2 linked regions of the Xenopus tropicalis genome follow. The protein of the gene in region 2 interacts with the protein of the main gene of each other region in a pairwise test. Links are inferred from orthologs where the notes say so. Each region holds a gene or a part of one and is shown on either strand. Other genes may lie near its edges.

What was found.
Region 1: the proteins of pcsk5 (region 2) and nufip2 interact in binary tests that used the Homo sapiens proteins (3 or more experiments, as listed by UniProt). The two-hybrid records come from large-scale screens. The link is inferred for Xenopus tropicalis from reciprocal best matches to the Homo sapiens genes PCSK5 and NUFIP2.

What each region holds. Positions count from the first base shown.
Region 1 is NC_030678.2:33,013,272-33,017,334, forward strand, and holds the start of nufip2 (nuclear fragile X mental retardation-interacting protein 2), read left to right. Parts: upstream 1-1,263; 5' UTR 1,264-1,482; coding exon 1,483-1,696; intron 1,697-4,063. UniProt on the Homo sapiens protein: Binds RNA.
Region 2 is NC_030677.2:131,823,291-131,826,790, forward strand, and holds part of pcsk5 (proprotein convertase subtilisin/kexin type 5), read left to right. Parts: intron 1-1,031; coding exon 1,032-1,225; intron 1,226-3,500. UniProt on the Homo sapiens protein: Serine endoprotease that processes various proproteins by cleavage at paired basic amino acids, recognizing the RXXX[KR]R consensus motif. Likely functions in the constitutive and regulated secretory pathways.

The DNA of each region.
Region 1 (4,063 bases), on a different chromosome or scaffold from region 2:
GGTATAGGATACAGAACAATGAGGAAACTAATGAAACACTTTAATACAGCTATGTACCCCCTGTATGCCTAGTCATTCCTTTGTTGCACACAGCCTGGCTGCTCCAGCCCCTGTGGTGTTGTTCAGTACAGCTAATGTTTAATAATATCCCATTGCAATTGGTCCATGTTAGGGTAGGCTGAGCACCCCAGACTGCAAGCTCCCACTGTAGAGGCGCTGTATGAAGGTGCCGCCGCTGCCCGGGAGCAGGGAGAGCCATAGCGCTAGGGCCACACTGCCAGAGCCATAGCGCTAGGGCCACACTGCCAGAGCCACAGCCCTAGGGCCACAGTGCCCAGGACACATCGCTAGGGCCACAGCGTCAGGACCATAGCGCTAGGGCCACAGTGCCAGAGCCATAGCGTCAGGACCGTAGCGCTAGGGTCACAGTGCCAGGACCGTAGCGTTAGGGTCACAGTGCCAGGACCGCAGCGCTAGGGTCACAGTGCCAGGACCGTAGCGCTAGGGTCACAGTGCCAGGACCGTAGTGCTAGGGTCACAGTGCCAGGACCGTAGCGCTAGGGTCACAGTGCCAGGACCGTAGCGCTAGGGCCACAGTGCCAGAGCCATTGCGCCAGGACCATAGCGCTAGGGTCACAGTGCCAGGACTGTAGCGCTAGGGCCACAGTGCCAGAGCCATAGCGCTAAGGTCACAGTGTGAGGACCGTAGCGCTAGGGCCACAGTGCCAGAGCCATAGCGCTAGGGTCACAGTGCCAGGACCGTAGCGCTAAGGCCACAGTGCCAGAGCCATAGTGCCAGGACTGTAGCGCTAGGGCCACAGTGCCAGAGCCATAGCGCTAGGGCCACAGTGCCAGAGCCATAGCGCTAAGGTCACAGTGTGAGGACCGTAGCGCTAGGGCCACAGTGCCAGAGCCATAGCGCTAGGGTCACAGTGCCAGGACCATAGCGCTAGGGCCACAGTGCCAGGACTGTAGCGCTAGGGCCACAGTGCCAGAGCCATAGCGCCAGGACCATAGCGCTAGGGCCACAGTGCCAGAGCCATAGTGCCAGAGCCGTAGCGCTAGGGCCACAGTGCCAGAGTCATAGTGCCAGAGCCATAGCGCTAGGGCCACAGTGCCAGAGTCATAGTGCCAGAGCCATAGCGCTAGGGCCACAGTGCCAGAGCCATAGTGCTGACGTTGGAAGCCCAGCCCTGCCGTGAGGTTGCAGGAGACAAGTTGTGCGGCAGCAGCGGCAGGCAGGGAGGGAAGGAGGGGTGTCGGCCAGGAAGGAGGAAGGGGAGGTGGCATTGAGGGGCATGTGGGAGGCGACAAGAGGCACTTGGAGAGGCCTGATTGCTGGATAGAGACAGTCAATCGTTTCTAGAAAGTCCCTAAGCCAACCGGCTTGCCCTAGTGCGGGAGGCAGCGCATCTGCACACTCACATCCACCGAGGGGCTCTGTGCTCTGCATCCAGCGCAGGGGGAGCCCACTCACTTTCAATGGAGGAGCAGCCTGGCCAACAGCAGCAGCACCACTACCACCATCACCATCCTCACCACCTCCACTCTCCGTCTTCTCACAGCCATTACTACTATTACACAAACAGCCAGCAGCATGGAGCCGAAGGCAGCAGCGCCAAATGCCAGCCCAAGCCGCTGAAACATGAGCAGAAACACGCCCTACAGCACCAGGAAACGCACCAGAAGAAAACAGGTCGGCATCTGACCCGGGGGTGGGGGCAGCCATGGGGCAAAGGGTAGTGTTGGTAAGGGGCAGTAAAGGGCACATTTGCCGGATGTATGGGGGGTGCCCAGTATACCGGGGGGCAGCAGAGCTGAATGGTTAGGTGGGGCTTGCACCCTAGCCGGCTGATGGCACAATCACAGCGTCGCCCGGGGGGCCGCCGGGAATACAGTGATTTAGCTGGGGGTTGGTATGGAGCCATCGTGTCTGGTTGTGTAAGGGGGACCCGGGAGGGGACACAGGGGAGCGGGCAGGGACTGGGCTCCCGGTATCTCAGGGCCCCTGGGGGAGAAGGTGCTTGTGTAACAGTTGGCTGTTGTTACTCTGTATATTAGGAATGTATCCCCTGCAGTCCCTTGGGAGTTGTAGTTCAGCAGCAGCTGGAGGGTGGCGGGCTGCATGGCAGCAGTGCCCAGGGCCCACGGATTCCTAACTCCGGCTGTTCCCATTGATCAGCTGACTGGGCAGCACAATGTGCTAAGGGCCCTGGGGCCGCTACCCAGCAGCTAGAGGGCGCCCTGCATGGGGCAACAGTAGCAGCGATTCCTACGCTTATTCCTATTATAAATGCTTCTGTGCCCTGGGGTTGTGGGTACCCGGCATTCGCTGCCAGTGGGAAGCCCGAGTGCTACGGGTAATGCTTCCCGGCATGGCTGCTTCCAGTTCCCCCTTATTGGCAAAACTCGGGGCCGGCCGAGCCCGGGGAATCCAGGCTGGAGGCCCACTGCCTTGACCTTGCTAGTAAGCCTGCCGGCTCCATGTTGTGCCCCCAGCCGCTGCGGACATGTGACTTCCCGGCAGGGTTGGCCCGTTACACCACCGCTTCCCTCCCCCGCCTTTCATTTATGTTTCCCGTTGTCTCTACTCCGCCACGTTCATTCCCCTCCCATTCCAGCCAGTCAGCTGCTCGGTGCGGCCTGGTACAGCCCTAGAGCCGGGAGCTCGCCTGAGGCAGCGGCACAGGAGGCTTCTAGAAGGCGCTGGAAGGGCTCGGCTGACGTGTGTGTGTCTGATATAGAGACTTACAATAAAGGATACAGGCTCCCGGCTGTGGCATTGGCTCTAATACACCGGGCGTTATAGCGCTGTTGGCTGGTGTTCCTAGGGGGCTACTAGCCACCGCCTCTAATAAGGGGTGATTGGCGAATTTATAGAATATAATGTACAGAGAGAGACAATTTACACTGGGGCCCATCAAGGGGAAGTATATAACACTTTGTACATATTTTACTATACATATCAGGGATGCCCAGTGGGGGTAATACAACTGAAAACCATAGCATTTTTCCTAAAATGGTGGCTAACCAACCTTCTGCCCTCTCTAACTCTAGTTCAGCAATATATTCAGAGTCACATTTCTTAAGCTTTCTTACTGTTTCCCTCAGACTGGGGCCTGAGCCCTGAGCCCTGGCCAACCCATGGCCACTAGATGTTATTGTTGGACTTTACATGCCAGATTCCCCCTGGAAGGTAAAGGCTGCAGGGGTCATTTTGGGAGTTGTAGTTCATTTACATCTGAAGGCCAATAGGGTTTCTAACTCAAGCTCTAAGCACTTGTTTTTGGAGGTTCTAGGAGTTGTTCCATATCAACTGTGGTACAAGCTACATTTTTTACCTGTAGGCAAGTTGGGTAGAGGTTTCTATATCTGTAATCTTGTTATTGGCATAGGGCCCCTGACCAAATTTTGGTCCACATATTTAAATTTAACCTGTTTGATTTCCTACCAGGGATTTACAGTAGGAGAGTTCTCTCAACTGTGACCCACCATCAGGGCCTTTCCTGGCTCCTGTTGTTTCTTCTGTGATAGGGTGTCCATACACATGCCATTTGGCCCCTAGGCAGATACTGTATGAGTGGCCATAAACACAACAACCACCACCGATTAGAAAGAGGTGCTGTTTTGGCTAACATTGTACGTTAGGAGATACGTTTCATACAATTCTGATTGACAGGCTGAATTGTATCCATTATAAAAAGATCTTAGTTGCCATTGTCTGGCCAACATTCATGCACCAATATTGTTTTGAAACAATTTATCAGTACCTGCAAGGACAGCCTTAGAGGGTATCAGTTGTAATATCCTAGCAGTGCAGCAGCCGTATAGTGATTGGTTGATTTCAGAGCAAGTGGTGACCCATGTGTGCTATGTAGGTGCAAGCCGAGCAGGTAATCTAATAAAAGGCACAAAGTCAGTGGTCTATTAATCCATAACAACCACCCAACAGGTAACATTTATTGGTCAGCTATTTGAAAGATTCATATGGTTGCTATGGGTTACTAGACCTGGGCAAATGTTGCACCATTAATCACATTAACTCTAAGTTGTTTAAATACCA
Region 2 (3,500 bases):
TTGCTTGGAGAGAGATATGAGCTGATCTAATTGTGCTAAACATCATCTAAATAATACTGTCCTAAATGGAATACATCCAGCCAAATAACATAAGGCTTCATCAAGAAGAGTACAGTCACAACCAGCAGTCCATCCTGTTCCACTCCTACATGAAAAATTCAGATATACACTAGACCGAATTCTGTTCAGAACTAAAGCTTTTACTGCTAAACAAAAAAAAAGTACTGTAAGATATAATTTAGGCTGTAATGTAATAATGTAAGGTTGGAAAAAGGTAATAATAAGCTATTCAATGCATTATGTGTTCTGGTACTTTAATAGGAACGTCACAAATTATTTTCTTGAATGAGGCGTGATTACTGTTTTTTCTCGAGGGCAGTATATAACAGTATCTAAAAAGAATGAGCATAGGTGTTATGTCCACTGCTGTAAAGGGTTGTAAAAAATAGTTATCAATCCTAATATTATGAACTTTAAAAAAATATGGTGCGTTTAGCGTACAGCTTGCTTTTATCTACCATCAGATCCATCAAGACATATTTATGAGAAGTTCACCAGAGGTTGCCAGCAGGAATCTATACCGCAGTCTTTTAAAGGGGCTGTATACCCTTATTTTCAGCATTAATTCAATGATAAGCCTTGGGTTGAACATACTCTTTGCCTTGTTTCACGTGAGAAATATGTATGTTTTTGTTATTTTTTTGAACTGAGCAGGGCGAAACCAGAAAATAAAAGTTGCATTCTGCTTGTTCTTATGAGCACAAAACAAATTAACTGTCCACTGAGAATGGTTTCATCTTGGATAATGCAATGGCACATATTAGCAGAGAAATACTTTATAAAGGTGTTTTAGTATGGGCTTTTTTACTGATATATTTTTAGAAAGATCTACTTTGTTCCAATGTATAGTACTAATCATTTTATTGTCATCTTTTTATTGCTAATCATGTAGTAGTTTGTGGTCCCCTACTACACTCTTAAAGGTAAAAATAGACATTTCTTAATAAAGTGTACATTGTCATTTCTCACAGAATTTGTGTATCAGACTGTCCCGCTGGTCACTACCTCGCAGACAAAAAAAGATGCAAAAAATGTTTCCTGCACTGTGAATCGTGTGTGGGGAGTCGCAGTGACCAATGCACAGCATGCAAACCTGGCTATTATTTAAATGAAGAAAGCAACAGCTGCATAATTAACTGCCCAGAAGGCTTCTACCTGAACGAAAGTAAGCTCATTTATAATGCATTCTTCTTTCACGGATGACAAATATTTCCACATGCAAAAACTGGCCATTTAAGTTTCAGAATTTGTTGAATTTGAGTAGGACAGAACAAACCATAGACTTTCAATGTTGAAGCTTCATTTAATACAGGTATAGGATCCATTATCCAGAAACCCGTTATCCAGAAAGCTCTGAATTACAGAAATCCTTTATCCCATAGACTCTATTTTAATCAAATAATTCAGATTTTTAAAATTGATTTCCTTTTTCTCTGCAATAATAAAACAGTACCTTGTATTTGATCCCAATTAAGATATAATTTATCCGTATTGGATGCAATACAATTCTCTTGGGTTTAATTAATATCTACCGTATATACTCGAGTATAAGCCGATCCGAATATAAGCCGAGGTACCTAATTTTACCTAAGAAAACTGGAAAAACGTATTGATTCGAGTATAAGCCTAGGGTGGGAAATGCAGCAGCTACTGCTAAGTTTCAATAATCAAAATAAATACCAATAAAATTTCATTAATTGAGGCATCAGTGGGGTATATGATTTTAAATATATATTTCAAAGCAAAACAGTAAACTAGCTCTGTAAGTGGAGAAGAGGGTCAACAAAAACAATAGGCACTGGAGGGTCTGGTTGCGGGTGGCCTAATTTGTACACAAAGGACAGAGGGTGCAAGTCTGGGGGGACCCATTGCACCCAACTCGAGTATAAGCCGAGGGTGACTTTTTCAGCGCATTTTGGGTGCTTAAAAACTAGGCTTATACTCGAGTATGATTTTTCAGTAGACTTAAGGTATGGAGATCCAAATTATGGAAAAAAACCCTTATCCGGAATACCCTTGGCCCCGAGCATTATGGATAATGGGTCTTATACCTGTAATAGGAATACCACCATCTTTAGTTTGGGCACAGAGACAAATAGAGATAAATATCATTTGTAAGATTTTAGCTGTGTTCACATTAGTAGGAAAGGGAAAATAAGGAGTCCTCAGGTGTCCTTCAATTCTAGTGGCAGCCGCTGACTCTTGACTTCTTGCCTACTTGATTTTTAAGCATGGTTTAGTGCACAGATGTGTTTAATAGATATCATTACTCCAAACGTGTACTTAAGGTTTACACTAACTCTGGTAGCTGGTACAGTTAATAAATAAGTGAGTTCAAACACAACTGCAGTGTAATATCTATGACATTTACCCAAAGTTAAATATAGTATGTGTGGAGCATTGTTTTTTTGTTTAATCCTGCAAAGTGCCTCTAGTAATTACTTTCAAATGCTAGCAGCTATGTTACTTCTGTATGTATGACACTGGAGCTGTTCCCAATAGCTGGCCACAAGCTAACAGCCCACTTGATATCTGTAGCTGGAATTGAAGAATGACCATTTTGTACTGATGGCATAATGGTTTTACTTATAAATTTTATTTGATTTTCAACAAAAGGTTGTAGCAAAAAATTTCCCTCACACTAGCTATGGTGTTTGTCACTGCACAGTGCACATGACATCAAAGTTGCAAAGGCTATTGCGTCAGTGCCAGACTGAAATAACTGCAATTGTAGTCACTCTACAGATCGATTGATTGTAACAAAGCCAGTGTGCACTATCCTGTTATCATAAAACCGTTTTCTGCCCATCTCTAAACTATGAGGGAAACTATGATCAGGCAGTATAATCCTACATGAGGTGCTACCTTGCATTAATAGTAGATAACTCACCTGTAGAAAAACACAGTTTCTCAGAAACTAGTTTCAGCCTTTCACTTTTTTTAAATGAAAATAATGTCACTTAGTGAGATATTTATTTAAAGGGGACCTGTCACCCTAAGAAAAAACTCCAAATTCTTTTCTATCATGCTTGTCAAGCAAAATAAACCTTATTTACACTATACAGATAGTATAAATCTTGTTGCCTTCAGTCTTGGAACTATTCAATCACAGCAAGCAGGCAGCTGCCATTTTGTGGACACTGTTAGTAAGGCAAACTTTGCATCACACCAAAATCTTGTTAAAGGACCAGATGCCCAGGCCCATGCACTGGCTACCTAATTAGGTGATGGGGAGGGAGTTGAAAAGTGTGAAGTGCAGTGACATCTAGGAAGTGCTGAATGGAAAGCTAAAGGTATTGTCTGCCCCGCCTCTATGCCTAAGGCATAGAGGGGGGGGTAGGCAATATATGATTGACAGCGGGGATTTTTAAATGTCTTTATAAAGGGTATGGATGTGTTATTTAAAAAAAGGAATTTGGGTTTCATGTTTAACTTGAAAA